Drosophila melanogaster: one gene and its partner. The protein of the gene in region 2 interacts with the protein of the main gene of each other region in a pairwise test. Each region holds a gene or a part of one and is shown on either strand. Other genes may lie near its edges.

The links.
Region 1: the proteins of CG32801 (region 2) and CG4770 interact in a two-hybrid assay, tested with the Drosophila melanogaster proteins (one large-scale study listed by BioGRID).

What each region holds. Positions count from the first base shown.
Region 1 is NT_033777.3:19,909,746-19,926,652, reverse strand, and holds CG4770 (uncharacterized protein), read right to left. Parts: upstream 8,147-16,907; 5' UTR 8,122-8,146; coding exon 8,049-8,121; intron 7,994-8,048; coding exon 7,769-7,993; intron 7,705-7,768; coding exon 7,637-7,704; intron 7,575-7,636; coding exon 7,479-7,574; intron 7,419-7,478; coding exon 6,964-7,418; intron 6,902-6,963; coding exon 6,624-6,901; intron 6,570-6,623; coding exon 6,359-6,569; intron 6,203-6,358; coding exon 6,136-6,202; 3' UTR 6,069-6,135; downstream 1-6,068. Other genes in the region: CG4459 (uncharacterized protein), read left to right, coding at 1-217; CG4462 (uncharacterized protein), read left to right, coding at 2,715-3,387, 3,457-3,963, 4,137-4,280, 4,338-4,735; CG4465 (uncharacterized protein), read left to right, coding at 8,875-9,607, 9,663-10,663; Xport-A (exit protein of rhodopsin and TRP A), read left to right, coding at 11,359-11,572, 11,641-11,777; Xport-B (exit protein of rhodopsin and TRP B), read left to right, coding at 11,829-12,170; RhoGAP92B (Rho GTPase activating protein at 92B), read right to left, coding at 13,569-14,341, 14,794-15,760.
Region 2 is NC_004354.4:1,901,582-1,917,524, forward strand, and holds CG32801 (uncharacterized protein), read right to left. Parts: upstream 1,597-15,943; 5' UTR 1,207-1,596; coding exon 1,041-1,206; exon of another isoform or gene 958-1,040; intron 911-957; exon of another isoform or gene 882-910; coding exon 571-881; 3' UTR 501-570; downstream 1-500. Other genes in the region: Ldaf1 (lipid droplet assembly factor 1), read right to left, coding at 1-33, 132-221; Edem1 (ER degradation enhancer, mannosidase alpha-like 1), read right to left, coding at 2,631-2,700, 2,964-4,654, 4,725-5,853, 5,914-6,038; mip130 (Myb-interacting protein 130), read left to right, coding at 6,772-6,774, 15,396-15,943; Rbcn-3B (Rabconnectin-3B), read left to right, coding at 9,176-13,753.

The DNA of each region.
Region 1 (16,907 bases), on a different chromosome or scaffold from region 2:
TCGTCGCCAGTCGGCCATCATCCTGCGCCGATGCAGCACTGTGAGTTCCGATTGCAGTGCCTACAGCAATGAGCTTCTCAGCAACTTTGAGCGAAACATGGCAGTTAGCATAGCCGATATATGGCACATCAATTTCCATCCCTCCAGCGAGATCGAGATGGAAGTGGAACAGAGTGGTCCGGAAGCTCACAGAGCACACAGCTCGGAAACCATTTGAACAGCTTTCGCGTAGCCCGAAAGTAGGCTTTGATCGATCTTAAGATATTAAGTCATTTGTATAAAGTGTACACTCAATTATTTGGTGATTATTAAAATAAATGTTATATTATCTATTATACTTCTGATTTATGTATTATTTTTCCGCTTTATATATCTTTTAAAAATATTATTGCGAGTGAGCGGTGTAGAGAATTTTCGTAATAGTAAACACACCCCCTTTTAAGCATATTATACGAGATGATCCAAAGACCAGATGTTTAACAAATTTCGCCACAAAATTAAAGTTAAACGCAAAGTTGATCATTTCACGTCATATATTGCTAATTTAATTGTTTATTTTATTTCCAGTTTAGAGTCGGCAGAAAGGTCTTAATTAGCAAGCGGTGAGCAACAAATTAGTCCAAATGAAACTGATTTACTTACTTATGATAATAAAATTGTGATGTAGATCCTGGAAGGAAGATTTTATGTTGAAATACAGATAACATTAAGAGTATAGTATTAATCTATAGCTCGATATTAATGTAGGTTAATGAAGAGCACCACAATCGATGTGTCACTAGGAGCGCTAAAAAAAGCGACCCAGACAATAAAGATTAAAATAGAAATCCGTTGAAGAATTTGTACAAGCCCGAATGGCAAACGGCGATAACGTAAAGTAATAATGTTATGGCTCCCAAGCCATAAACCCTCCTCACCTGAGATAATGCACACTCGATAGGGGTAAGCTCAAACTAATAACATAAAGAGCATTGAAAGACACCCTATCGATCTGTCGTCAGCTATTCAATAAAATTAAATATTTAATAGGCAAACAAGGAAAAAATGTCTCAATAAGCTAACTAAAATCCCGGCTGCGTCAAATACTTTATGAACTCTAAAAAAAACAATTGAAACTAAAGAGAAATGCTCGAAAAACGAACCCGTTCAATAACTTTTTATTATTTGAGCAAATTCATTAAGTAAATTAACGCCTCGAGTTTCCGAGTGGACAGCCAGTCGGCTCACTCCCTGTCTATAGCGCCCAGTGCGACATTGGCGTCAGTTGCCATTTGATTCTCGGCCGATTGGGACGCGTGTGCTCCAAGAATCCAATAAGAAAAATCGAGCTGAGACGTGCAAATCGGAAAGCTGCCTTTTACGTACGGGGATACGCGGCGTGTATAGTTTTTTATTGTCGTTTAATTAATTTAAATTAATTTGTATGAAATCAAACGAACAAAAAGCAAAGAGACATTGTGAGAAATAAATTGAATTCCGAAATATTTGGCTGTTTGAGGACTCAACATCGTGATCGAACCCTTGATAAACCAAAAAGTGATATTGTGCTTTATAAAGGTCGGTTTATAGATCGGTTTAAAGCTCTTAAACCAACATTACTATGCTATATTACTATATTGATTTTATAACTAGCATTTATTGATTACCTCGTAAGAGTGCATTATCGTGTTGCAGTTTTTTGCATTAAATATTAAATACGCCGTGCACGTAATCTAACAAATGCACAGTGCACTTAATCATAATCTTGTCAAAAGTCGAGCATTCCATTAATTTGAAACGAGTAACGCCTCTCCAGTGGCTCAGTTTTCCTGCCCCATAAGCAATTATTAATTTGCATTTGGGCTCGAATCGAAACAAGTCGATCTGATAGAAAGACCTACCTCCACTGTCCACATGCTCAGCTGTATATCAAATGTATTGTAGAATAGGAAATTCGAATATCTAGCACCGGCACGACCAGTTTTCAGCAATTAGCACTGCCTGGAATATTAGAAATTAAAATATTTGCACTACCAATAGGTGGACAGACTGGAGGTGGGACCAATTGTGAGCCAGACAATCGCCAATTAGCACCTGTGAAACTGAAGCATAAAGAGTCTGTCAATACAGATGATCCAACAAAGCGAATCTGTCGCGAATTAACAACTAAATCTTTCGCCATATTTGCCCTCGACAAATAAGGGCTAGCAAACAGATAAAGTCGCGGAATGAAATGATCATTATCTGTTGCTTCTGCCTTATCGACCAAACTACGGTCAGTCGTGATTCGAGATATGATATCAGTGACAGAATAAAGCAAGCCAGAACCTCGAACTGGTTGAAGTTAATCAAGAGCTTAGCTAATTTATTAATGAGAACAATTAAACGAGATTACAGATTTATTGGAAATGAAAAATGATCTTATTAGTAGACACAATGGTGTAACAAGTATAGGGTTTTAGGAAAGTTTAAAATTATATTTAATTTATGAATTTCGCCCAGGTGTTTATTTATGACATTTACTTGTCAATGCAATAATGAAAGTCAGTCAAGTGAAAAGTAACCGCAGATATTTCAACAATCTCTCGTGATATTCAATGCCTTGTTTGACTGATTTCATCAGTAAACCGCTTTCAATTTACTTCAATTGGGATGGAAGGGTATTGGCATGAAAGAAATAAAGCAAATAAATAAATGGGATGTTCGTTTGCAGAATGTTTCACTAAATAGAAGCCATGGTCAATCCATCGCCCGCCCGAGGTGGAGAATCCACTGCCCCCCACATCCTCCCCAATGAGATGGAGAATGACGTGGACAAGAGAATAGCGACGCCACCTCCAGCACCAGCCGGTAGCGATGTCATCGCCGATGTTGTGGGCGACTTTGGCATCTGGCAGCTGAGAACCATTCTCATCATCTTCCTGTGCAAAATCCCTGCCGCCTGGTTCATGGCCTGCATCATCTTCACCGGACCGGAACTTTATCCCGGCTCGGAGTTCACCTGCGACACCAGTTATTTGACTAGCAGCAGCAACTCCAGTTTTAGTATTTCGGATAACCAGTGCTATGTCCTGGACGAGTCCACTGGCACCAGCTCCGAGTGCGAGCAGTTCAACTACGTATCCAGTTTCGACTCCCTGATCATGCAGTTCAATCTGGTCTGCTTGAGGGACATCTTCGTGGCCTGGACTCAGTACTGGCATTTGTTCGGAGTTCTTGTAGGCGGCGTTATGGGCACCAAGATGATGCTGGGCATCAGCCCGAGGAGCACCTATTGTGTCGGTGCTGTAGCCCAGATTTTGTGTGGAGTAGTCACTGGATATGCTAGGGATTTTAGTCTGCACTGCGCCTTCCGTTGTCTCTCCGCTGTCTGTTGTGCGATCATGTTCACAGCTGGTCAAGCCATATGTAAGTGGATTTGGTAGTACACTTATACCTATTCAGTATAAATATTTATAATGAAATCCAATCTGCCAGTTGCCGATATCACGGCGGGAATGCATCGCATTGGTGCCATTATCCTATACGACACTTTCTGGTCCATTGGTGTGATTCTGTTGCCAGGACTCTCCTCGTTCTTCAACAGCTGGTCCCTGATATATGTGGGCATCACATTCCCCACTATCATGCTGATCTTGCTGCTCTACTGGACTCCGGATTCACCTCGCTGGCTGCTCCGGCACGCTGCGGATCGGTTTTCCATTGACAATGTGGAACAGATCTTGCGTGAGGGAGCGGCGATCAATGATCGCTCGTTCAAGATCCCTCCGGATTTCCGACAGCAGCTGGAGCAACTAAGTGAGCGCTTGAAGGCCCAACCCCCACCAGCTCCTTGGACGGAGTTGTGGAAGGGAAAGCGGGCCAAGACCCACATGGTAGCTGCCCACTTGGCATTGGCCTTTTTCGTCATCAACTTTATGGGGATGCTGCTCAACATAAGATCATTTGGAAGGGACTATCTGGTACCGAACACTATTGCCATGGGTGAGTTGGGCGTTCTTGGTATCTTCATAAATCAAGAGAACTTTAGCAACTTGCTATCGATCTAATATCGATCTAAACAAAATGGCCTTCAAACTCTTTGTTGTACAATATATCAATACTTAAATCCAAAAAACTCTTTATTCATAATGTAAAAACCATTCTATTCCCTGCAGGATTTTCGGAAATCATTGGCTGCTTCCTGGCGCTGCACTTTACACTCAAGCACAACAAGTGGAAGTGGCAATGTGCTGGGGTCTTTAATATATTAGCTGGAATCCTCGGATGCATGGGCTGGATCTTCACCAATGCGGACTCAAGTAAGTTAATTTTAATAACTTCGTGAATGCAATATATGGACTATGGTTATTCTTTAGTGGATGCTGATCTAAAAGTGAGCCTCTGGATGATCATCGCCACCATTCCCAAGGCGGCTGTTTCGTGTGCCCAATCGATGATCCTGGCCTGCATGAACGAACTGATGCCGGCGAACAAGAAGCAGCTTTTCGTCTTCTCCGTGGTCACCTGGGCCCGAGTGTGGCTCCTCTCAGCGCCGTTCTTCAATGTCCTACGGAAGATCGACACTGCCATGTCGCTGACTTCGTATTGTGTATTTAGTATTCTTGGCGGAATCTGCACCAGCCTGCTCCTCACGCCCAGATTAAGTGTGTCCCCGGTAGTGCCACACTTGGAGCAGAGAAACACGAAGGAGCAGTCTCCATTGAACGCCCCAGTTTGGACCGTCGAATCCGATGTGAACAATACTCGATTGTAGCCCAAGACGACAGCCTATTTTTGCCAATTAATAGTCTTTGTATTAGTCAGCTAATGAAAAAACATTCTTCTGTGATTAGGATAAGTGAATTGTTATTTTAAATGCTTGCAGTTTTACTAAAGAATATTTGTGGAGTTTAGTGGGTGAAACCACTGAATAAATTTTACTTATGATATATATCTTGTAACTTATCCCACTTAAACTAATGTCCTAGCACTTGGTAACAATCAAAAAAGCGCTGAAAATATTCTGCTTTTATTTTATTTAATAGCCGATAACAATGATATGAAACAACACGTTTTTCAGTATTTTTTATCGCTCAGAATTTTGTTAATGTTGTATTTTTCAAATTCCGTCAATTTCACGCTTCTCTGGATCTAAACTAAAAGATCTCTTCCGGCTCGCGGTTTTCTCAGAATTCGATTGCAGACTAAGGAGACGCATTATTTCCATCTGACTCATTGTATCCCTCCAATCTAGGCTCTCCTTTTCCTTCTTTTCGTTGTCAAGATCCTTCGGCTGTTCCATAGCCGTGTTTTGCTTTTCCGGAATACTAACTAACAAATAGTACTATACGATAGGTGGCAAGTGACATTTAAGGCAATGCATCTCTAAATTGACAGTGACAATGCTAAAACGTGGATGAAATTTTATTTTGCCTTTTCGATTTGGTGGATCAACATTTGTAAGAATTCCTTGATGGCTATCTTCTGGACTACGAGATTACAAGAGTAAGCTTCGAATTAATGAGGTCCTTTCCAAGACGTAGTAATTCAAGTTTGTAAGAATTCCTTGATGATTTTGATCCCGAGCTTATAAAAATTTTAGTTTAGGAATATTGGAACCAATGAGAACTATGGGAAGACATCGACAACCCCAGGCGAATGGACGGCATCCTGCAGCATCCCAATGAGCAAGAATATACATAATTCGAATCATCACGGAACATATGATGAAATGGATTCCCTTAAGGTGGCGGTATGCTGCTGAGTGACCAAAGAAGTTCATTGCTAACCAATGGCGAGAAACTTTGACCCCATTACGAGAACACAATCCTTGATCACCTCATTGTATAAATCGTTTCCCTGACAGGTGCCTTCACCGACTCCCGCTAGAACAGATTATACACTGCCTATGGTGTATACTTTGTGTTAGCGGGTGTCGGAGAAGCCACCAGTCAGGGAACGATTTATACAATGAGATGGGCAAGATCTTAAATAGTGATTCCGCTCTTATGGATGGCATTTGACCATTAAAAAGAAAGTTATACTCAAAATCTAAGCGCATAAAAGAGAACTAGTGAGACTGGAACTTATATTATAAATAAATATTTAAAACAACTCCTTTTACACTCATTATTAATTTACCTGCTTATCGCTAAACACTCAAAATCTACTTGACTAAAATGAAATATAGACAAGCATCATGTAGAACATCAAATGCAGAAATATCCAGAACCAATAAATCCTGTAAGAAATTAAATACTTTAATGTAATTTTTTTGAGTCCAAAGATGCTTTACAATATGGAACGGGACTCTCCTTATCCCCATAAAAGGAAAATTTGAACAACAATCCTATTCTGAGCTGGATACTAAGACGGAAATAATAAACGAACGACTCACCTGGTCACCATAAACTTGTTTGAGTCAACGGTGAACTTCTCGCGGTGCAGGTACTTGTTGATCCCAATCATGTGACGCCGCACATACTCGTCATAGTCCATCTCCTCCAGATTCCAGTAGAGAGTGGGATATGTACCATTCTCAATCATTTCCTTGAAATAGAAACGGCTCTTGTTCTTGAAGATCCACTCGTTCAGCGAAAAAAAGCTACCTGTGGGCAGTTCAATGAACGATTGCATTTGCTAAAGATGTTTCATAAAGATACCTGCTAGGCAAGCCTGTCGGAATTTCTTGGCAATTGGTGTCACCAGTCGCTTCTTTTGGGCCAACAGCAGGGTTTGCAGATCCATTAGCAAGGCGGGCACAAAGTGAAGAACCCATACAGCCAACTCGTGGTTAAAAGCACTGCACCTATACTTGAAGTTGGGAAACATAATCATCCGCCGGGTGGGATAGATACGAGACCACTTCATTGTTAGCTCGCCAAGATGCTGCCAGGTGATGGGATTGGTCACTCCGGAAGTGGCGTTACAGATGCTCAAGCTTTGGAATATCAGCATGAGAACTAACATGATAAGTATAAGGAGTATTTATTATCCACTTACCTTCCCAATTTCGCCTTGCCGACCATCATGATCATGGCATTGACCACAAAGTCCACTGGGATGATGTCACATATAAGATCCTTGTTCCCTAGGATGCTGCTGATGCCGCCCTTGCCAATTTCCATCATAATACCGCTGATGGCCTGGATATTGTCAATCCATCCGGGATAGGGCTCCCTGTACGCAGCAGTGACTATCGAAGGCCTCACTATCACTATGGGAATCACATCCTTGTATGCATTAACAATCTGCTCGGCAATGGATTTGGTGAAGGTGTAGGTGTTGACATGCGGACCCTTTATATAATCGGCCAGGCGATTCAGATAGTCGTCGGGTATTTTCTGGGTGGCAGAAAGAAACTGTCGCCAATCTACCGGCGGCATGGTGGGGTACACTTGCTCATCAACATACTTGCGACCCGGATTGCAGTAGGCCGTCGAGACGTACAGAAAACTCTAGAGATTTTACCCATTACTTAGCAGTAAAGATAAACTCTACGGACTGGAGCTCCTTACCCTTAGATAAGGCATCTGCCTGCAGAGCTCTAGAAGATTGTAGGTGGCCTGTGAATTTACGCGAGCCGACACTTTTAGACACTCATTGAATCGTACCTGGAATTTGATGAATCAAACAATCAGTGTGAAAAATCTTGGGGAATCCCCCTCGGACTCACTGTTGCTGCACTGTGGAAAATAATGTTGACCTCGGCACACAACACCGATCTGTCGGACTCATTTAAACCTGTTGGTGGAAAAGTCTGGTGAAGTCATGAGTTTTCATTTAAAGTTTCTCTGAAAAGCCATACCTAAGTTGTCGTCCTCAATGTTGCCAGAGAAGTGAAAGATTTTCTTCAGCTGCGTTGGATGCTCCGATTTTATGCGTTCGAAAATGGGATTCTGAAGGAATCCGCGAAATCGTTCCTCTACTGTGACTCCGCCCTTAGGTCGGATGAGCATGTAGATCCGCTTGATCTGCGGAAAACTCCAGAGCAGCTTCTCCAGCAGCGACTTGCCCACAAAGCCAGTTGCTCCTATTAAAGTTAACCATCTTTGAACAGTCTCTTTTGGAGATCGCGTCTGTATTACCCGTTATGAAGACCACAGCATCTTGGTAAATATCCGTCTGGTGCTCCACAGTACTCACTTCGGCGTTGTCCATGGTGTGGCCACTTTGAAGCCACGATAGCTACTGATCCGGTGAGCTACTCACTTTCAACGCCTAACTGGCTTGGCAAAAGAAATGCCTTGGTCCTCCCGAAACAAGTTTTTCGTGAAAATGCAAGTGGAACATGCAATTGGCCAACGAAAATAGCAACTCAGACGTAACATTTGAGCACAAACATATTACATCATATTTCGATGGGGATGTGGACAACACTAGACCTTCGTTAATGATCATTGAAGAAGTCATGAAGTGGGAGTCCATACCATTGGCTAAGAGTTCTAGGCCATTTTCAATAATTCAAAAGCCATGAACTTGAAAACTCCGGAGTAGATAAGTATTATATCTATTATATAAAATATGGCGATACCATTAAATTAAATGTATCCACAGCTGCGAAGCTTTCCAATCAGTTCGAATTCCGATGTTGTTTACCTGTCCAATTCATTAGCTTCAATCATGTCAATTGCCCGCCACCGCGATCGGATTCCCCGGCTAGATCCTCCCATAAATCCGTAAGATCGCCGCGAAAATAGATCGCAACTTGTCGGCCAAAATGTTTGCACAATCGGTTAGGAACGTTGCTCCGCTTATTTGGAATGATTTGATTAGCGACGACGTCGTAGGCAGGCACCGCAAACCGGAGCCCTCGAGTTTACCTGCCCAGGTGAGGTGCTAAGCGAAGTCGCAGTCATGCTGGAGGGTCGGCACTCCCAAGACGTGGTAACTAAATTTGGCAGCTAACTAAGAATGAAGAAGGATAATCTTTATCGAGGCTGGATGCCCAATATACGCCGAAACTCACCTGCTCCTTTGGACTTGGGCCACATGGCGCATAGCTTCACCTGCACCGATCCGAAGGCCAACGAGGTATCTCCTCAAACTCCACACCCGAAAGCAAATAATCTAGCAGATGACAACGATGACGATGTCATCACACACATCATGGGGAACTTTGGGCCCTGGCAACTGCGCTCCCTGCTCATCCTATTTCTCTGCAAGATTCCAGCCGCCTGGTTCATGGCCTGCATCCTGTTCACAGCGCCGGATCTGTACCCCGAGGAGGAGTACAAGTGTGATACGACGGCTTTCGGGCCGGATGTCAACTCCACCGTCTCGCTGGACCACTGCTATGTGATGGTTAACTACGGAGAGTCCGCCTACGCCATGCGCCAGTGTCGAAAGTTCCTCTACACCACGGGTTTCCACTCCCTGACCATGGAGTTCGATTTGGTGTGTCTGTGCGACTTCTTTGTGGCCTGGTCTCAGTACTGGCACCTCTTTGGCCTCCTAATCGGTGGCGTGGCGGCCACCAAGTTGATGCGGGTCCTGAGTCCCCGACAGATTTATAGAACTGGCATCTGGTGCCTGCTCATGTGCAGCCTACTGATGGGTCTTGTCAAAGACTTCAGTCTGCACTGTGGACTCCGATGCCTGGCTGCTGTTTCGTGCTGTTTTATGATCACCTCGGGGCAGTATATATGTAAGTAAAATTGAATATTTAAGAATACTTTAATATTAAATAACCTACTTTTCAGTTGGTGACATAACAGCGGGAAAATATCGCGTAGGAACCCTCATACTTTACGACTGCTTCTGGGCTCTGGGCTTGATTCTGCTCCCTGGCTTGGCCTCCAATGCTCCCAGCTGGCAGCACATATACTTGGGCGTAACTCTTTCCTTGCTGGTGATTGTCTTTCTGCTACCCTGGACTCCGGACTCACCGCGCTGGCAGCTGCAACACACCAAGGAAGCTCAACTGGCCATCGAGCGAACGGTGGGTATCCTGCTGGAAGCAGCCCGTACCAATGGTAGAATGCACAAAGTGTCCAAGGAGTTACCCCAGCAGTTGGAGGAGCTGAGAGAAAGGATGCTGGAGCCAATGCCCGCCGTGCATTGGATGCACTTGTGGATGGGCCAGCGTAGGAGTACTTTCCACTTGGTGGCCGTGCACATGGCACTTGCCACCTTCATGGTGGTCAACACTGGGCTGCTGCTCCATGTGCGGTCCTTTGGCAGGGAGCACCTGGTGTCCAACACACTGGCCATGGGCCTGGCCGAGATGCTTGGCTGCTTCCTGGCCCTACACCTGACCTTCAACCTGAGTGAACGCAAGTGGCAGTGGGCGGGGGGATTTGCCATCGTGGTCGGTTGCATCGGTAGCATCTGTTGGTTCCTGGCCGAGGAGGATATGCCCGAGGTGTATGGACTGACGCTGGGCTTGCTAATGGCATCACTTCCCCAGGCGGCCGTAGCCTGCGCCCAGTCCATGATTTTGGCCTGCCTGGGCGAACTGGTGCCAATGGAGCAGCGTAGTTGCCTCTCCTTCTCCGCCGTCACGTGGGCGCGGGTGTGGCAGCTCTCCGCCTCTTTTCTCACGCTGCTCAGGCAGGTGAGCCCCGCCCTCTCCCTGTCCGCCTTCTGTCTGCTGGTCATCCTGGGCGGCCTTGGCACATGTTGCCTGGTCACGCGGGACAAGGAGCAGCCACCGGTCGGAGCTGTGGTAAACAAGGGACAGCAACTTATTGCGTTCACGTAATAACGTATACTTAATATATGTCTGGGCGTATTTGATAAGTTAGTTGTAGTGTGTGTCAAGTATTCGCGAACAGTATTCGAATTTAGCTCATTAAACATTCGCTTATCGCGAATCGAATATGTATATTGGGTTGCATACTTTTGGGAATAAATCAAAAGTTCGGCATCTACACGTAGTTTGTTTAAAATGTAAAGCTTACATTAGATCAATGCAAAACTATTATAAACTATTTGGCAGAATAAGGCATTAAATAAATTAAAACTGGTTTGCATGATATTTAAATAAGCTTTCAGGAACCAGAGCCATTTGGGACCAATGTAAACCCACAAACACCAACCCTACCGGCGACCACCTTCATCCACCAAGTTGACACACATTTCGTGTGACTGGTATAATAAGTACACATGCCCGGCTAAATATCCAAGCGCATTGCTCCACTAACAACATATTTCTATTTGGTCACCTGTCCCACCATTCCCACCCAGCCAGAGCGACAAGCAGAAATCGCAAATCAATAAAATGGAAACCATAAAATTGCCAGAAGCGGCGCCACGCCAATTGGCACCACAAAGTTTGTGTCATTTGCGGAGCAGCAGTTGGCGAGGAAGCACCAGGCGGAGAGCACTTCCAGGACCAACTCCAATCAAATGCAGTGCTGTGCAGGCTGACCGACCAACTGCTGCTATCTGGATGCAATGAAGCCGAAGAAATCGGCCTTTGCCAATTCATCCACGGGATACGGCAGGAACAAGCACGGTAAAGGACACTCTGGCAAGGATAAAGTCGAGGGTGGTGGTAAGGGCAAGAGCCGAGACGAGAAGGATAAGCATAAGCATGAGCAGAAGGTGGACGAGAAGGATGACAAGGATCTAAATTCCGGCTTCGGCGACTATCTTCGCACTCCGGAGGGTCTGTAATTTTCGCTCCTTAAAAATATATAGTTCATTTAACTAATAAATATTACCCCTTTCCAATAGCATTTGAAATGATGAAACTCTTTGTCTTCGCCAATACCATAATGCTAATTGTCACCATGGCCTGGCCGCACATCAAGGAGCAATTCTACATGGTTAATCAATGGCTTGAAAGCTTCCGCGAGGAGCATCAGCAGTAGAAACCAAAGGATCTATCGAACAAATAAGTAAATCAAGTGGAAGCATACAATATGGTCGGTCCATTCATGCAGGGCCTATTCTTGATTGGCATCATCTACTGGTATTCCAAGGGGATGATGTCCATGATCAACGACTACTACAGAAGTGAGTTCCAGCGAAAGTTGCAGACGGAACCAGCAAAGACGAGGGCAGAGACACCCATCAATGTGGACAACTTTATGGATTATGTTAGGGAGCTGGACACTCCGGACGAGGTGGCTAGAATTCCGGCGGAAGGAACTGAATCTCCGCCCATGGGAAACACCTATTGCCACATCCTTCGACGATTCTTGGAGATTACCGGCACTCTACCACCATTCGATGTTTGCCTAGTTACGAGCAACATAAGATAGCCCATCCTATAATTAATTATATATGGTATCAATTATACTTAGTGTGTTTTATATGAGTTTCGTAGAATAAAATATCTTACTAACCGTATTGCATACTTAATTGTCTTGCTCTCTACATTCGAATTCTACATTGTATCCCACCATTATGAACAACAATAGAAATATTTATCCAACTTGTGGTTTTCAGCTTTTTTATTTAAATGTTTGCAGAATATATTCGTGTGTCTCCAGCATTAGCTCACTTACTAACCTATTCACAAAACTTTATAAACATACTAATCTCTATAAATATCATGGAATATATATCGATTTGGTCTGTAAGTAAGCTCTATTCAATCCAGATCTGGTCATTGCTAGTTTGCATCTGAAGCATCTCGTGAAAAATAGTTATATGGAGATATAAAGTAGTTAGGTATTTGACTTGGAAGTTATGCCATTTGGTTTATAATAAGTGCTGTCTACAAATCGCTTGTGTTCAGGTATTCGTTTTGTGGCACAAAGTGTAGAGTTTTGAAGATACCACAAAGCTGAAGATATCTTAAGTATCATTTGATTTAAGGAGGTCAGTATGTGATTAAGAGCTAGGTATTACCAATTTCATAAGAGATCCACATTCTAACATACACTACGCGCACCCACTCTTTAGCCAATTTCGTAAAATTAACTTCACAAACAATAAAATACAAAGACAAATGCCTCTCGGGCAAAATCATATTTATCTTTTTATGTATATTTTATATACACAACAGTTTATCATACATAATTTTATTATAAAATAAAAATAATAATAATTGCATTACAAATTAATAAAGCAAAGATACAAAGTAAAGTACATCGCGCAGCGAAATGATAATTCAATGAAAATGTACTTCGTGAGTTGAATAATACATTGGAATTTTCTGTAATTTCTGTAATTTAATCGAAATCATAACTTTTAATAAAAGGAAATCACAATGTCTTTCGTTGGAGAAGTTAACAAAACGTACTCAAGAGCAATGCAAAAAATTAAGGAAACACAAAACCTTTCTGAAGTATCACAACCTTTCAAACAAGGATTAACAATTGAGAGCTGGCTTGGGCTAACAAATCGAATTTCGACAATTGATTTATGGTGGCCTACTAAAGACTATATATGCATACATATACGTTATGGATATCGCGTGATATTGTTATATATGGCTAAACACGTACAAATTAGATTGCTTATGAACAAGGCAAAAATACAAATGCATAATACGCAGAGGCTTTTCTCTCTATAATGCACAAAGTCTCCTTACCGCAAGGATCATTTCGAAATATATATATATATTACTGTGCGTTCAAGTCTTAACGAGTAAACAGTAACACCTAATGACTCTGACCACGTTTCCATTGCGCGTCCTCTCTACTCATTCCCCTCTAGTCCGAGGACTTCCAATTTGTGGGCGGTGGCGGCGCTGGCACCGTTGGCCTCTTGGGCGTTTGAAATGAGTTCGGAGAGATGGGTGTCGTGACTTGGGGCTGAGCTTGCTGCTGATTTTGATCTGCAGCCGTAGCAGGCGGATCATGGTTGTGATTGTTTTCCTTTGTCGTCGACGACACCTCTCGCGTTCCGTTTGTCTCGCCGTTCTCCTGACGCAGCTTGTCCAGAAAATGCTCCGTTTTAAATCGCACACTGCCATTGCCATTATCAATTGTTGCCTGAGTGGGCGTGGTACCGCCCTCATCATCGCTCTTTCCATCTGCCTTAGGCACTCCCACGCCCAGCACGGTGGGTCGCTTGGGCAGCAGAGGCTTCTGCGGCACATCTGGCTTCAGCTTGAAGCTGCCAATGCTGTCGGTGCTCTTGCGATCGGCCGTTGGAGAGGGCAGGTTGTCCAGCCCGAAGAACTGTGTCCGCGTCATCGGAACAGGCTTGGCTGGCGTTACAGGCGGCGGAGGCAGTGGTTCCAGCTGCGTCTGCGTCGGCTGACTAGCAGCTGGCGACTGAAACTGCGGCAAATTCGGCAGCGGCGGCTTGGCGGGCTTTTCCTGCTTTTCCGGCGTCTGCTGCGGGAACAGCTCCTTTGCATGTGGTCGGTGCGAAGTCTGTGATGTGGTCATAATTATCCCATTTCCATTGGTGGTAGGAGGCGAAGGTGCATTAGCTTTTTGTCTGCGCAATGTACCATAGCGTGGACTCTCCATGACTTCTATAAATGGAAATGGATCGTTAAATATGATATGAGCTTTATTATTAATACGTTATAAAACGATATATCTTTTATTAGACTTTTTTTTTAAAAGCATTTAATTTAAAATCGAATAAGCCAATGTACAAGAACTTTAAAATTTCAAACGAGTCAAAAGATTTGGTATAAGTTAAATAAAATGTAAAATAGTTATTCCAATGACACCATGAACTTCCAAAAGTACAATACTAAATTTGGTTCCAATCCATTTTATTAAACAAAATATTGCCACTAATATTGCACTTTAACAGCTTCTAGGTACGTAAAGAAACATTTAGAAAAATATAAAAAATATAAGGCACAGGAAAATACTAAGCGTGGAATTGTTAAAAATATAAGAGGAAAAAGTCGTCATAGGTCGAATACTGTATAGTGGCCCGTTTCATAGATGCCCGACTGTGTAGTATGCTTACCACTGTCGTTTCTATCCAGGTTTTCGTTCGAGGAGTTAGATTTGCTCTTGCCCTCGACGAAGAGCTTTTGCTTCTGCAGGGTCAAGTAGAACTCGACTTCGCCGATGAAAAAGTAGTCCCACTGGCTGATTAGCAGCTCAACAATGATGTTGGCTGCCGAGGAGCTGTTCACCTGACCAATGTAGTCGGCCGGAGCGTTGCTGCTCTTGTCGATGCGTGGCCACAGCATGTTCGGTGACATCACGATGGCCAGGTTCTGCGAGCTCATCTTGTTGAGCGCCGAGCGCTGCTGCACGATGGACAGGAAGCGGGTGAGGTAGCGCAGGTTCGCGTAGTTCTCCTTTGGCAGCTTGGTCAGAATGGCCTTAATCTCTGTCTTGCGCTCGGCCTCGCTGTGCCTCTCAGCGATCCGGATGAAGTCCTTGTACAGGTTGTAAGTGAGCAGCGGCTCGGGCAGCTCACGCAAGTACAGCTTGAGTATGGAACCAATGACATGTGGATCCTGGTAGTCCAGCGGAAGCGGTGTCTTTACATGCTGCGCCTCCAGGGCGTGCTTCATACGCCGCAGTTTCGTGCTCGCGCAGCCCACTCGCAGCAGACCCTCTTCCTCCAGGCCGTGCTCTAACAGACAGCAGCAGCACAGCTCCACTATGTAGGAGATCTCGCGGTTTGTGGATGTCAGATGCTCCTTGAGCGAGGTGCCAAAGCGGGACTTCTCTGTGCCCTGGATAGTGTCCTGGATGCGGGCCAGCGAGGCGTTTACGTGCTGCAGGGCGCGCTCGTGATAGTTTCTTTGGTTGAGTACATAGTCGCGGATGCAGCTAACGATCTCGTCCTCTTTGGCAATCAGCTCCAGCATCTGGGCCGCCCAGGCATCCCGCTCCTTTTCCAGCTTCAGCTCGCACTCCTCCTGCTGGCTCTTGATGTGGTTAACCTTGGCCGCTGGTTCCTCCAGACGGATTGCCGCCTGCGAGAATAAAGCAAAACACCGATTAGCCCATGTCAGATAAGAACCAATGTCACGGACATCGTCACATTTTGAAAGGAGCAAAGTTCAAGCGCCAAAGTATCTTATCTCAAAATAGTTTTCCGAATGACTCATGGAAGATGCCTGTAGAGGAAAGTTTTGCGGCTCATTTAAAAATAGATCGACCTCTACCGCAGCCCAGCCAGCTGTTACCGCTCTCATCACGGACTTTGTTTTGAGTTCACCCACTTCCGACAATAGGTCTCATTCGGGATACAGAACACACATGCGCCGCTGCATTGGGGCCACTGACTGCGGTGACTAGATCATGCAATTCTCCTGCTCTACAAAGGCTGATAAGAAACGCAATTGAGCTTCGTAAAATACTTTCATCAAGAGTGAAAGAGAAAGGGCCTTATCAATAACAACAACAAAAAACAAACAATGTATTTCCTACTTTAATCACAAAAGCATATAGCAAGACTGTCAATTGGCAAGTTTCGATGATATAAAAATGTATTTTTTTTTTAAATAATTTATAATCACACTGCCTTTGCGGAGTTTTTCCCCGCTAACGGACAAAACAAAGATTCTTTGAGTGAAGTAATCCAGCGTTGAGCGTAAAAAATAAACAAAGTTCCCGCTTATGATGTAAGTTTTGCTTACTACAGCATTACCCCTTGTGCGCAAACAAACTGGTGGTGGCATTCATCGCCCTATCCCATAGCTCCCGTTCCCGTATCATAACACCGCTAAAAATAAACAAATCGTGACAAATTGCTGTAAGTGCAGCCGACGCTATCTGCCCCCCGAGAAGACAATGGCATCCACCTATCGGTTTCCGCGCCCTCTCCACCTGCAAATCGGATCGGAGTGTGACTGAGTCACATCATTTCCATGAGCCGCAACCTCTCGACGACCTACATCCCAGTTGGCACCGCAAGTTACACATTCAACGCCGGGCACCAAAGTTAGCACTTCCAAAGTCAGTCGTGTGCTTATATGTTCGTATTGTTTTCGAATTGGATCTATGTCAGGGAATGCAATTAGAACAGCACCGGAGCAGCGGTGAGCGTTTGATTAGCGAATTATGGCAAGTCGACGGGCGGTTAATAGGCGATAAGATTACTGGGGAGTGTAAATAACT
Region 2 (15,943 bases):
TTTGGCTGCTTTGCGAGCCTTGTTCGAGTGAGCCTGCAGAGTCGATCAAATCAAATCAGTTATGAATATTATGTGAGTCAAAGAACCCAAGTGATTAGATGCCGGCTGCCACTGAGTCCGTGAAACGCGACCTTTGACTTGCGATGCCGATTCCAGCCGAAATCTACGGATTCTTCCGAAGATGCCGGAACACCCACTTCACTCACACCCGTACCCACCATGTTGCGTGGCTACTGCGAGAATCTCAGGCGGTTGCTGTGCGCATTACAGGAGGAGTCTGTTCCAGGTTCATTCGCCTGCTTGAAGCAACAGTAAATGAAAACAATATAAATAAACAAAAAATAATCGACGTCGTAGCCCTGAAACTAAATCATCGAGGGAGAGCTGCCACCTTTTTTTTTACTAAATTTGAATTAGACAAGATGCGTTTCTTAATAATGATCTAGCGTGGCTTAGTTTTGCTTTTTAATCATAATTAATTTGTTTACAAAAAAAAAATTAACACTATGTTAAAAAAAAAATTATAAATTTATAATGGCGGTCAGCGTGCGACATTTCTTCGCCGTAGGATTAGTGAAGCAGGAATCTGAGTCCGTTAAACGGAGGACGCGCCGTAATCCTCTCCGCCACCAAGCGCTCCCCGTGAACAGTCATGCCGCAGCGCACCTTCTTGGCATGCAGAAAGTTCAGATCGGCGGCTCGCTCTCCACTTTTGAGCGGCAACCAGCCGTACACCTGCGACTCCAGGAGCGGAACAGCTTTTCCGAGCTGCCTCTGACGCTCCACATGCTTCTCAGGCCAAGTGTGCCGTAGGTACCTCAAGGTATCCGTCGGCTGGCGTTGCTCATACTGGGCGTAGAACTTCCGTGTTAGCGGATGAACTGGAAGGCAGGAGAAGATATTATTAGCAGTAGTGAACAATTTTGTAAACTATTGTAAAACTTTCAATGATTAAAGTTTTATTTTTACAGGAGCGCTACGATGCAACAAGCTTGTCCTCAAACATGATATACCGAGCTAACCAGAAATCTCTAGCATACCTTGGCTCACTGGAACAAAGGTTTCGTAAAGTCGGATGTGCCGGTTAGATCTATGGATCAGCTCCTTTTCGAAGTCGTAGGGCAGCGGTCGGGGATCCCCCTCGCGATGATCCAGTGCGTCGCCATTCTCCTCGACCTCGTCGGTGGTTTCGAGTCCCGGTTTCATGCTCCTGCACGTCTACTATTTTGAGCCCCGAAGGAGAGCTCTGTTTACGGAAATCCAGGCAATCCGTCCGCAACGCGTGGCGTGCTCGGTTCGTTTGACTGGCTGCGGACTGCGCTGCATCAAGGACACCTACCCCCCACAATCCCCTTGCCTGCCGCTCACTGCCTGCCTGGCTGTCTTTTCGTTTTGGCAGCAACTTGTACTCATTAAAGTTTTCCTATTGTTGCTGCATGGCAGGCAACGTTACCAATACTGTACACGCATCCCCACGACGCAGCCCACGGGGCCCAAGGAGTTGCTGCTCCCAACTCCCGGGGGTGTCGATGGCAGTGGTGTGACCCACAATCACAGTTTCACCAACGTCAGAGGCGCCTGTCGGGCGAATTTCCCCAGCAGGTGCTGTGGGCTGTCCGCGATGTATGCGATTGGCTCAAGAGAAAGTAAAAGGACGTCAGCCAGTGATGAGACGGATCACTGGTTATATTCAAGATTGGAATTGGTTGAAGTATAACCAAGTGTACCGAAGGCGAAAGTCATCGATTGGTTGGAACTGGAACTTATCTCGCCTATTTTAAGGCTAACTACTACATTGTAAACAATAGGAGCTTACTATACCTTCGCATCACTGCTTCCAGCACCCAAGGGCTGGCTCCATTCATGTCGTTGGCGTAATTTAGTACAAGCCCAAAACCCAAATCCCTGAAGTAAACAGCAATATCCGAAAATAAACCCATTCGAGCGATTGCCTTTGCGTGTCCAAACAATCGCAGCCACAAAATTATCTAGAGGCAGAGGAGCAGGTGGCCACCACATCCGGCACTTGGCCGCCGCGATTCTCAACATTTGCTTCGGGTTGTGCAACTCTCTCGATTCGTCGTAAATTTTAGCCTAATCGAATCTAATTGAATACATAAATACGGAAATAAATCAATTTAATTACAATACAGCCAACAACAGTCATCGCAAATAGTTTACACGCACACAAGCACTCGAACCATTATTATTACAGATATAAATTTGTTTAAGCCTTGGTAAGGTATTGAGAAAACCTCAAGAGTTGCGGGTTCATATGCTAATTAAATTAATTGTCGGCACAAGTAGGACCACTTAAGGTTCTTTAGCTATACATATTTTTGGAAGTTCTATTATCATATCTTAACTGAGCTTTAAAAAATCGCTGGTAAACATGATTGTACAAGAAGTTGAAATTCCTGGAAATGGTTTGGTAATTGCATACATATGTACGTACATATATGTACATAGCTTACAATTTAAACGATAGAAAAGTACAAAGTACAGCACTGCAAATATCATGATCGGCAACATATCAGAAAACCGTTAGAGGTGATGGTTCTCTTTCGTTATCTAAGTTCCCCTCCTCTCGCGCTGTCTTCATCTTGTACTTTCGCGCTTGCCGCTTTGGCTTAGCGCTCTGTCCTTTTCGCTCTGCAATTGAGTCGCTCATTGTCATGCGCGCATCGACGCCGAACTTTGCTAAAAAAAAAAAAATATACCATGATCGTTCGAAATCGTTACCAGAAAAAACGTCTTTTAATTTTGCAAAAATAAGTTAATAAAAGGGCCCAACAGCCCACTTTTCAATCGCCATCGGAAATAGAGCAGTTGGGAATAAAATCTGCGTGAGACTTATCTATGTGGTTGCCCAGTCACCAGAGCGAATACCCCTAAGTAACTAAATACATACATATCTATCTACAGATCAGTCGTGTTGGTCGGTGAGGTGATTGCGAGCTTACAGCGCTTCCGGATAAAAGTCCCGATAGGCGAATCCCTCAATGTACTCCGGCCGGTGGCAGGCGAACAGATGGTGGGGTAACTCCTTGCGGGCGTACTTCTCCAGTGCCTTGCGCGTATTTTCCTGGAGCACGGCCTCGTCAAATTTGACCCGCTGCACCGTGGTCTTCCGAAGGATGGTCTGCACCAACTGCGACCACACGCAGCCGGACTCCTCTTCACCCAATCCGGAGCCGTTTTCGGCAAGCTTTCCTTTTTGAATTTGTGTCGACTGCTTCTCTTCCTGGCTCGGCTCCGGCTGCTGTGCAGGCGCCGCCATCTGGGCTTTGGTTTGAGTGTAGACTGTGGACGCATCTGCGGCCTGAGAGTCGGTAGTGGCCTCTTTCCTTTTGGGTGGCGGAATGTCCTGCATGAGCGTCTGCAATCGATCAACTGTCTCCGCCATTCGTTTCCGAAAGTCCACTATTCGACGGGCGTAGCTGAAGAGGGCTCGCTCCTCCGCCAACTTTAATGGCCTTTTACGTGCTTCCTCACTTAGTTCTCCGTCTTCCAAAAGTGGGTGAATGCGAACACCGGCCTCCGAAGTGCCACTGAGGTAGATTCGGATAGCAAATTCCTGCATGGCCGAAGTATTGACCATGGCTATGGCATAGGCATTACGTGCTTTTAGAATAACTTCTCTTATATGAGCCAACTGGGGCGAGGAGGTATTGGACACTCTTGTTTCGAGATCTTGTAGATCCATATGCTCCAAGTGAGCCGACTTATCCAGGCTGTCCAACACCTCTGTCAAATGGCTAGGTATCCGGTCACCGTCCGCCGGAAAGGTTAGCAAACCTAATCCTTGAATCACTCGGATGTTGGCCACATATTGCTGCTGCAGTTCGTACAGCTGCCAAAGGGTCCTCATTCGAGACTCATACTCTTTCTGGGCGCCTGTGCCCAATACACTACTCATATTAGTATCGTACAGTTGCAAGCCCCGTATAAAGGCTACATCCATGGTATAGTTGCCCATGAAGGTCTTTACATAGTTAAGAGCCTCGGAGGCGCTTGCGAAACTCTCCCGTCGCTGAGCAAAGAATTCATCCAAATCGCTGACTGTCAACTGGTTTCGTGCCACCACGTTTCTGTGCAGGCTCTCGTTTAGCTCCCGCTCCTCGCGTATCTGCTCGAAGTTGCTTACTAACAGATCGCCGGCGGGCTGTTGAAATTCGTCGAACACCTCAATATCTACGGCCATGGTAGTGCTTGTGCCGGATTGCTCGCGTTCCTGCTCTTTTTCAGAGTCCTGCGCCTGCACACTCTCATCCTCTTTATTAAAGAACTCGTTGTTCTCTGGGTGACACTGCGGCACCCACTGTTCCTGAACAGCTACCTGCCGCTTTTTGCTCCTCTCTAATATCGCCCGTGGACTAAACCGCTGTAGATCCAGAGAGGTGTAGATGTCCTCGTTGTGGGCGTGGCAACAGTGGAGGGCTGACATGTCCATGGGATGAGCCTCTGTGTTGAAGATGTACGCACCGGCCTGTACCACGCATACATCATCCTCGGTTGACAGCAGCTCGCCTCCGGACCCATCGTTGTGCAGGAAGTTTTCCTCGTCAAACAGCAGATAAAGGTACTTGCTTGTTTCCGCCAGGAAGAATGACTCCATGCGATTCTCCTTTTCGTGGGTGACAACATTGCGAATCTGGAAAATAATGCAAGTATATATTAATTAATTTTAAGTTCTTAAAAAGCTTGTTCACAGAACTTCTCACCGTTGCATATCCGCATTTGGTTTTGGCACTGAACTCCAAGGTCTCCAGCATGTGCTCACCAAACTCCAGAAGATACTCGTTTCCTGTGGCTCGATAGAGATACATAGCTGACTCGATTAGCTCCGGTCGCAGGGGGTACACCTCCCGATTCGGCGATGCCTCTCCAGCAGCAATGTTATAAAACTCTGGCAGAAAGCCGTACTTCTTCCAGACCCCAATGTACCGTGATATGGTGCGCAAGGCCGGCTCCGTGTCGCCAATAATGCTCAGGATGCCGGGCCAAAACGCCTCCAGGGACTGAAAGACGGGAAGGGTGACGCGGCCTTTGTTCATGCCTACCCACACGTACCAGTCCTCCTTCCGCATGTACTTATCAATGGCCGCGCGAGCCTCATGGAATAACTCCAAGAGTTCTGGGCGATTGAGCAGGACAGATGCCTTAACTAGGTATTCAAAAAGGGAATCCACTCCTGCTCCGATACCAGAGTCGAGGGCGGTCCAACGACCGCTCTGCACGTCGATGTGATTGCCAAAAAGTCCAATGGGCGAGCGATATGCCCATAGAGCATGTACCGCCTTCATAGCAACATCCTCGTAGATGGTTTTCCCGGTCAACCGGCTAAGGGTACCAAATTCGATGAGGAATGTCCCCACGCCCGCCGTACAGGTTATAGAGGTCTCGCCCTTGGGCACGCCATAGCGCAGGTTCACCGTGCCATAAGGCATACCCGTGTTCGTGACGAAGGCTGGCAATAATCGTCGGGCCACATCCTCCGCCAGTCGCAGCAGAGGTCCCTTGCAGGGCCATCCTGGCTCTAGCTCTACGCCAGCACGCTTGGAGAGCAGATGCGCGGACAGCAGCCCGCCCACGATGCGGATGTTTGTCTCGAACACGGACACGTTGATGTCCCTGTCAAAATCCATCTTCTCCTCGAGCAGTCTTGCCGCGCGGCGGAATTCCGTGAAGTTGCCCATGGTGGCCAGCGTGTCCAGAGCGTCGATCAGTGTCAAGGAGTAGCTGCCCCAGGTGTCGTGGCCATCGCAGGTCAGCGGACGCAGTTCATCGTAGTTGGAGGCGTGGCGCAGGTAACCATCGTAGGCGTGCTGGAACATGCGCCGCACATCCTCCCTGCAGATTCATTGCCGGTTAGGATTAGTATGTCCGAGTTTAGCCCTAGCAATGACCCACCTCAGTTCCAACTTTCTTGCCTTGGAATACTGCTTCTGGCCGCTGACACCGGTGGACAGCAGGACGAGGAGGACCGCGCAGATGAGGGTGCCCGGATAGCCGTTGTTTCGGGGTTTTTGCTGCATCGTGGGACAGTCAATCAATCAGGGCCGCTAATTCAATTATGGGCATGGTCAGTGTTCCATAGCCAGCGTGGATGTGGGATGTGTGGAAGTCAAATGCGGCTACGTTGACGCAAAATCACAACAAGGGCTGATTCGGCGGTGGCATCGACCGCCGAATGCCCTACTAATTCCGTTCGGTGAGTGTTTTTTTATAGAGCGCTTAGAGTAGCAAACGGGGGAAAGAACACAAGCCAAAGAGCTTTTTTAAGGTAACAACCAAACACTATAGGCTAGCAAACACTGTATTCTCCGCCAATTCTGAAGTACGTTAATTTTACCCAACAAAATCCCTAGCAATAGGATATGTCATTCCGTAGGGTGCAATCAGCTGTTGCTGATCGAATAACTATCGAAAGGGTGGTCAGATCGAATTTGCATGGTGGTCATTGCTTGTTAAAGGAATACAACAGCTCAGAATAGCCGTAAAATCAGCGCGGCAATATTAAAGTCGGGTTGGAAAAATTAAATGGCAATTTCTTTAAGAATTCAAAAAGTTTGTGATGACAAATATACCGATTGTTTGTCACTGCTTTGCGCGGCACACGTTCCTTTATACTTTTATTCGCGTCGAGTTGGCAGCACATACCAGTTTTTTTTGTGGCCATTCAAAAGTGTGTGTTCGTACGGGTAAAAAGTGATTTAAATTCAAAATATTCAGCGAAACGACCGCCTCCAATAGAAGCAACTGTACCCTATGGTAAGTAACTGCCCTCTGCACCCGTTTCACACCCGGACATCCTCCGGATGAGCTGACCAAGAAATCCGCAGCCTTTGTTACGCTTCCGACTGCGAATTGCAGTTCTGGCGATGGGCAGCGATGTGTTTCGGTTTTGAATCATTCTCCGCGTAAAAAAAACTCAGAAAGAGGGTCGACTATAACCTCGCGGAGTAACTGCATCACGGCCCGTGTGCCTTTTGTACTCCGCGTAAGGCGATCGTTTAAATGCAATCGCGTATGCTTAATTGTCCGTTGGGCGAAAAGTAACAACATTGTGGGTCTATACATGCGGGATTGCCTCTGGCTGACCAGAAACCACATTGAAACCATCCCGTTGACCGTAGATATAAGCGTGTGCCATTTGGGATCTGGAAATCGTGTTTCCACCCAGTTGTTTGCATATTTATAAACAATTAAAGAAAAATATTAAATTTTTTGGTCAGGGCTGTCGCCCCTCGCATGGCATCGATAGAAGAGCGTCCGGAGCTGCGGTTGCAACCCTATCCGCTCACGCAAATCTATCGAAAAATTTTACTCCACGGTCGATTTTCGTTGCTTTTTTTTCACACTCGTGTAAAAAAAAAGGAAATAGCTAAGTAAATCGAAAGTACAGTGCAGTGTTTTGATCCCGTGGAGTGCATGTTCCAGCGGAAAGTGTGTGCAACAAATATGAGCAGTTCGCAAAAGTGGCGAGCAAAAGCAATAACAAAGTAGCAACAGCAACGCAACGTGTGTGTGTTGTAAGCAATCTGTACAGCGGAAAGGTGTTGGTGTGTTGGTGTGCTCGGGGGGTGGTGTGCGTTTCGCCCGTCCCGTGTCCATAAATTAGAATCAAATCGAATCGAAATCGACATTGAAGTCCGCTGCTCCGCCACCGCGATGTCCGTCGACCAGGATCAATAAGCAGCGTCACCACCAGTAGCGGACCATCATTAAGTTCTCCATATCGAGAGCAGGCTGACTCGGAATCGAACTCGGATTCGGAATTGGAATTGGAATTGGCATCGGAATCGGAATCCATAGCGGAGGAATCACGCGCGGCAGCCAGCCCAATACGGAAAACTGCTGAAAAATGTTAGATAAATGCCCAGTTATCTACAATTATTATGGCTTGTCCCTGTGTGCGTGTCCAGGTGTGAGGGTGTGTGTGTTTGTGTGCGATAGCAGAAGCAAAATCCGCTCAAATTGCGATGCCAAATAGTCGGCCAATTAATTGATCTTTCAATTGGCGACATCAGGCGCCCTCCCATATACCCAGCTCCGCACGAAACCCGATATATATCCGCGGATTGAGTCTCTGCTTTTGCCGCACATATGTATTGTATAACCCTTGTTTATCTTTGGACAATCCGAGGTGGAGTGGAGTACAGTGGAGGCTGGCCAAGTTGGACACATGTGCCGATAAGGTGGCGTGTGCTGGAACGAGTGTCCCCTGTAATGCGGTCTTATCTGAAGAGCTTTGCAGGTCACTCCGACTGACAAATTCACCTGCAAGCTAGGAGGGGAAAGCCCTGTGAAGAACTCTCTAACACGATAAAGTCATATTCCTGATTGATACAACTATAACACACAGAAATCACTATCAGACCAGAGAACCAGCTCGCAAGACCCAAGACTGTAGCTATACCAAATAATCTATCCATAAAAATAGGAAGTTCTTATCTTATCACATACTCTAGGTAAAGATTTAAGATGGATCTCTATAAATACTTTTGAATTTACAACCCAATTTGTTATGCTTCTCCTGTAAGTGGCCCAAAAATCGTCAGTTAAGCATATGAAAAGTCTCGACAATGTGGCTGCACTTTGTTCCTTTAATTGTTCTTATATTGTTTACAAATTGCATAAGCTGTAAATGTAAACTTTGCTTAGTTCGATTTCGCTTATTCCCGAAGTCTGTTTAAACATTCAACAGGAAATGAGAAACTGAGCTTGTTTATAAAACGTTAGGCAACATTACCCCTTTTGCCATTCATCTTTTCCATTAAGAACGCCATATAAATTCAGTTTTCAATTTACATCGTACAGCTGTGGGTTGTAGAGCACTATTAGCTGCTAGGAAAGCAGGTTGAATAAAATGATGATGAGAAATCACAGAATTCGAAGGACCTTGGGTGAGTCACTGACTAGCAGCTTTCACTGCACCATCCACGCACTCAAAGCCGACCACAACTGGAGTTCATACACACACAGGGGCCACCATAAATAATTCGCATCCACTAGGTGGAAGTGAGCAAATGTTTACTCAATAACTATTCTTGCAGAGCCCGCAGTCGCAGCAAAGCAACGATTACCAGCGACACGAGCAGGGAGCAGAAGGAAGCCGGCGGAGGAGGAGAAGAAGGAGAGCCACCGCACAGATTGGGTAAAGCGCACCACCATGGTGAGTACCAATCTGGTGGTACCCGTGGTGCTGTGGGGTCCCACCGCGCCCACGCACTGCATCTCTAGCGTGTTCCTCTCGGACGATCAGTTTACCCTGGTCACCGGCTGCTACGATGGACAGATCTGCCTTTGGCAAGTGGAGCCCACCACCCTGAAGATGTCGCCGCGGTGCCTCTTGGTGGGCCATTCGGCGCCCGTTTTGTGCTTAGTGCGTGCCTCGCTTCTGCCGGAGAACAACTTCCTGGTCAGCTCGTCTGAGAACGGAGAGATGTGCACCTGGGATCTTACGGACGGCAAGTGCATGGAGGCGGTCAAGCTTCCACAGGTGCACACCCAAATTCAGAGCTACCACACCGCCAACAGCGAGGATGTGCGCCTCTTTTGCATTGGCTACTATGCTGAAATCATGGTCATGGATCCGTTCAGCCTAGAGGTGATCTACGTGCTCAGCTCAAAGGTCAAACCGGATTGGATATCCGCTATTCACGTACTGCGCCCCATGCGTCGCAAGGATGACGTAGTGTTGGCCATCACCACCACCGGAACCGTGAAGGTCTGGACTCTGACGGGTAACGAGAACAAACACGCGGAGCCCATTTACGAGAACGAATCCAAGGAGATCCGCTGCCTGAATGCCATCACCATGAATTGCTGCGCCCAGAACCAGCGCACAGTGCTCTTAGTTTGTACCAAATACTGGCAGATCTACGATGCCGGCGACTTCACTGTACTCTGCTCCGTAATTGCTCCCGCAAGGGAACGTTGGCAGGGCGGCGACTTCATCACCTCCGACCGGGTAATGCTATGGACAGATGAGGGAAAGGGCTACTTGTACAAGCTGCCCGCAAACTGCATTCCCGACAACAAGGAGTTCCACTCGAAGAGTGTGGTCAGGGATGCACCTTACCTCTACTACGTGTTGCAACACGCCGGTGATAAGGTGCTGTCGTGCCCCCCAGCCATGAAGTTGCTTCAGGGCGCCGGTGGCCAGCACAATCTACTGCGCGGAGACTCCGAGGGATACATCTCTGTCTGGAATGTGCCGGAGGTGCCGTTAGACAATATTAGCATACTGCAGGCCAAACAGATGCCGCCGCGACCCCTCAAGCCGCACGTGTGCACTTCGTTGGTCGAGGCGTGGTCCATAATGGATCCACCACCAGTGGGCATCCTGGATCAGCTCTCCCGCATCACAGAATCGCCGGTGAAGCTCACCTCGAGCATCTATCTGCCACAGCAGAGTCGCCTGGTGATCGGACGCGAGGATGGCAGCATAGTCATAGTGCCAGCCACCCAGACAGTGATGATGCAGCTGCTGGTGGGCATCAAGCAAAACTTCAGCGATTGGCCCTCGCATCAGATCCTCTACGGTCATCGTGGAAGGGTCAATTGCCTGCTCTGCCCCTCGATGATTCACTCGAGATATGAGAAGTCGCATCTACTTTCCGGCGGCATCGATTTCGCCGTGTGTCTGTGGGATCTGTACAGCGGAAGCTTACTGCATAGGTTTTGCGTTCATGCGGGTGAGATCACACAACTGCTGGTGCCGCCAGAGAGCTGTAGTCCAAGAATCCTGAAATGCATATGTTCGGTGGCCTCGGACCATTCCGTTACGCTAGTGTCCCTTCAGGAGCGCAAGTGTGTGACCCTGGCAAGCAGACATCTATTCCCTGTGGTTACCATTAAATGGCGTCCCCTGGACGACTTTCTAATCGTAGGCTGTTCCGATGGCAGCGTGTATGTGTGGCAAATGGAAACGGGTCACCTCGATCGAGTGCTTCACGGGATGCTGGCAGAGGAAGTCCTTTCCGCTTGCGATGAACAGGCGGAGGATGGCGGCTCGGGCGGCGGCGGTGGTTCCAATGGTGCATCTGCCAGCGAGATGGGTATGGCCAATCCGGCAGTGCACTTCTTCCGTGGCCTGAAGTCGCGCAACATGAATGCAATCCGTCATGCTACCCAGCGCGGGATTACGCAACTCCAGCAACTTCAGGGTCATAACCAAGGAAACTTCGACTTTCTGATGAAACACCGCAGCAATCCTTTAGTGATCCAGGGTCTTCGTACTAATCCTAAGGACGCGGAGAGCCACATACTTTTCTTTGACATCGAGGGACTGATCTTCGAATTGCATAGCGAGGAATACGCACAGATGACACCAGCTACCTTGGAATCACTTGGTGTCCACCTGCAGAATCCCAAAGATGGCAAATCGATGCATTTGGATGCTAGCAAGAAGATCGGTGACTTCTTCAACAAGGTGAAGAACAAGGCCGTAGATGTGGAGAAGATCCTGAAGGACAAAGACAAACACGGGCTGGTGCAGAAGTTCAAGGAGAAAACTGAGATTGTCGAGAAGAAAGTACAGGCCAAGGTGGAGAGCCTGCAAAAGGCAGTAGAGCCGCACGAGGAGCAGCAGGACCTGAAGAGCAAAATCGCTTCCAAGATGGAGGTTACGCATGTTATGGAGGTAGCCCAGCTACTTCTTTCGCTGCTCCATTCTTGGGGCCTAGATCCACATCTAGACAAGATGTGCGAGACGCGCTTGGGCCTGCTTAGACCCATTGTGCCCATCTCATACGGAGTGCTTTCCAAGGCCGGCTATATGTCGCTGCTGCTGCCCACATGGCAGAACAACTATGCCATACCACCCGGTATCCAGCTTCCCTCCAGTTCCAAGAAGCGCCCGCTGCCAGAGGAGCTGCAGCGCTTGGAGCATCTCACGGCTGTTTTCACATCCCGTCTGCATTGGGAGCTCAGCACTACGTTGACCACCAACCATATTCTTGCGCTGGTGGCCATGTCCAATACGCTGCTGTCGATGAGTGCGGCCTCCTTTCTGCCGGACAGCGAGAAGCACAAGAAGCTGCAGCGCTTGGCCCAGCGCACGGACTCCACATTGAGCAACGAGGAGGAGCGCGAGGAGCTGATGGCCCACCACATCTCTCAAATCAAGCACGCCTGGAGCCTGCTTGCTACCCACCATTGCTTCCTGTTGCCCGACAAAATTGAGGCCCTGGAGCCGAAGAAATTCAAGCGTCCGCAGGTGGAAATGATGGTCAAGCGCTGGCAGCATCACTGCATAGAGATCAGGGAGGCGGCTCAGCAGATCCTTTTGGGCGAGCTTACCCGGATGGGCAAGAAGGGTCGCAAGCAGCTAGTCGAGAGCTGGGCACAATATCTGCCACTCTACACGCACACCGAGCCCATAGTGGGAGCCCAACAGCAGTTGGCCTTGATAAGTCAGCCGGCAAGCGGAGGAGCTGGCTCGGGATCGGGCGGCAATGGAGGGGTGGGCGTCGGAGTATCCGGAGGCGGTGGTGCTGGTAGTGGTAGCGGGCCAGGTGGCAGCGTTCCTGGGGGAGATGCCCACCAAGATGAAGACTACGAAGAGGAAGAGGAGGAGATTATACGCAAACCATCCAGCTTGTCGGAGCTGAAGCGCAAACAAACTACGGCAGTTATCCTACTGGGTGTAATAGGAGCAGAATTTGGCCAGGATATATCCCAGGAGTCACCGAATCACCGTGGAAGTATTAGCATGGCCACGGGAGCAAATCTAACCAGTGGAGTTGCTGGCGGGGAACGTCGAAAATCTAGTGTCGTGGAGGGCTTCGGCATAGCCAACAATCTAGCCCGTCTTACTTCAATGGCCCTGGCTCACTTGCTGTACGCGCCACCATCTCCCAAGCTGCCGCAATACACGCCACTGCGCCGGGCAGCCATCGATCTGTTGGGTCGTGGATTCACCGTTTGGGAGCCGTACCTGGATGTGTCCAAGGTGCTTCTTGGTTTGCTGGAGATATCGTGCGAGGGCAAAGCAGTGCCAAATCTGAACTACAAACTTCCACTAACCCCGCAAGCGGATGCCTGCCGAACCGCCAGGCATGCTCTGCGCTTGATAGCCACCGCTCGGCCGGCGGCGTTCATCACTACGATGGCGCGCGAGGTAGCCAGGTACAATACGATGCAGCAGAACGCGCAGTCCATCAACACGCCGCTCACCCAGTCCGTTCTGCACAAGGCCAAGGGCGAGATTCTGCAGTGCGTTGAGATGCTAATCGACAAAATGCAGTCGGAGATCGCCGGCCTCCTGGTGGAAGTTATGGACATTGCCCTGCACTGCGTGGACGGCAACGAGCTGAAGAACCGCGGCCTGGCGGAGCTGTGTCCTGCCATCTGCAAGTTTAACCAGATCTCGCACTGCGCCCAAACACGCCGCATCGCCGTGGGCGCCAACAGTGGCAACCTGGCCATTTACGAGCTGCGCCAGAACAAGTGCCAGATGATCCCGGCCCACACGCATCCGATCACCTCGCTGGCCTTCTCGCCGGATGGCAAGTACCTGGTCTCGTACTCTTGCGCAGAGAACCGCCTCTCCTTCTGGCAGACCTCAACGGGGATGTTCGGACTGGGCCAGTCGCAGACGCGCTGTACGAAGGGCTACTCTACGGCACCCATTCCGGATGTGTCGCGCCTGAATCCGATGCGCCTGGCCAAGCTTGTGTGGATCAACAATCGCACGGTGACCCTCATGCTGGCCGACGGCTCCGAGACGCGATTCAATGTCTAAGGTGAAGGAGCAATGATAATGGACTAGTGAATCTTGCGGGATGTATAGCATGTTATTAGGCAATCAGTGCGGACTTCAGAGCAGCGCTTCGGAGGAGCAGAACAAGGAGGACGACTCGGCGGTGGAGTAGGAGGAGCTGGAAGAGCTGCGGGGAGCTGGAGGAGCAGAAGCGACAAAACAATAATTATTCGAAAATAAAAGTGCGGTAATGTATGGCGTTTCGTGAGTAGTTAAGGTAATGGAAACGAAAAAAAGCTTAGCAAAATTAAGACAAAACGAAAATGAAAGCATAGCTAGGGCAAACGGGAAGCTAAGCGAAGTTAGTTCAAGCGAAAATTCACAACACATTTTGTTATTTATTTATATACTTACCCTATATATCTGTATCTGTATCTGTATCTAATCCGTATCTGTATGTATTTTAATGTATTACACGATTTTAATATGTCTCTTATTCGCCCCTCTGCGTTCTTTTTAATTTTTAGTGCCTAACTTTTACCCATACTCTTAGAACACGTATTTCTGTTTCTGTTTCTGTTTCTGTTTGTCGTTAATTTCCAATGCGGAAAAACTAATAACTAAATCCAAATCCAAATATTAACAAATTAAACAACAATTAACCAGATATGCAAGCAAACACAACTACACGAGAAAAGCAAAGGAAATGAAAAACGAAAAAAAAAAACAAAGAATGAAAAGCTGTTATTATTATTACTCAACTATTATTATTACTATTGTATGCTACTATTATTATTATTATTATTATTGATATTTGTTATGCCTAATGTATTGTTATATATATATACCTAAAATAAACCTAAACAAATGTATTGAGCAAGTAATGAAGCGAAGGCCAAGCAACCAGAGTTTCCTCGAACGAGGATTAAACAACTAGTGAGCGAAGGGGTTTTTTTTTTAACTACATTATAACCATTGTAACTCCCATATATCTGATTCTTTCGATGTTATATTTATGCTTAAGCCTGTGTAAAAAGTCATATTGTCCTGTGAAGTTGTTTGGGCATCCTGTTCACAAAATGCATGCCACAAAACACACACACACAGTTCATTTGCGGCGTTAATGTTAATTGTGCATCGAACAGATGGCGGTATTTGGAGCCTGGGAAGCCGGCCAGCCAGCCAGCCAGCGTCCTGGTCAACTGGTAACCGGGCGACAGAAGTGCCTGCAGCTGTACGGGAGAACTACTTATCCTAACTATAGATATAATAATGCATACATATATACCCAACTGAATTTGCAATATGTGTTCGTTTACGTATCCAATACAACACAGCAAACACACGGGTGAGAGAGTTAATTGAATTGTGCTTAATTTCAATTGCAAATGATATATATTCATATATATATGGGGACACGAGCATACTTATATACGAGATCCTTCAATCAAAGTATTACACAAACAAAAGGAACGAAGCAACTATAACAATTATGTACGGAGTATACAACAAATAAAGTCAAGAAACATCTGCAAATTTTGCCTCCCTGTGCTTTCGATTGGTGGGGGCAACGCTTCCGTTGGAGCGCATCTGGCATTGTGGGGAAGCCCTGTTGTCGAGCCTAGATAACACGGTTATAGTCGCCCAGATTCTCACCTGATAAACTGTGCTCCTTGAATTTCAGCTTACCGGCCGTCCAGTGAGAATGTCCGTTGCAGTAAACCAAAAAGGCTGGGGTAAGAAGGCAGGAGCTTCCGTATCCGACTCCGCAATTCGTACACAGTCCGCCCTCAGCGAGGGGGGTGGGGCCATTGACGTCCGGCCGATGGAGCACGACGAGGAAATCAATCGCGAAGATCTCAACCTCGACGAGGACGATGAGATGGAGGAGGAGGAGGAGGAGGAGCACGCCGACGAAGAGGACGATGACGAGGAGCCGGATAGCAACGAGAACAGCGCACCGGAGGAGCAAGTAGAGCCGCCGGCCTTCAGCCTAGCGACGCTGGGACTCCAACGCGTGGGCAGCGCACCGCCGCCCAAGCCCAAAGTCCAGAAGGCCCCAATCCCGACCCTAAATGCCCGTGGAATGCCTGCTCGGATACGAAAGAGAAATCGTCTCTTTTATGACGAGAACATCATCAACGATGACAAGCCGCTGCGCATGAGCTTGGCACCCAAGAAGACGCCTGGCAGACCACCGCAGTCTGCCGGCGGTGGCTCTAGCCAGAAGAT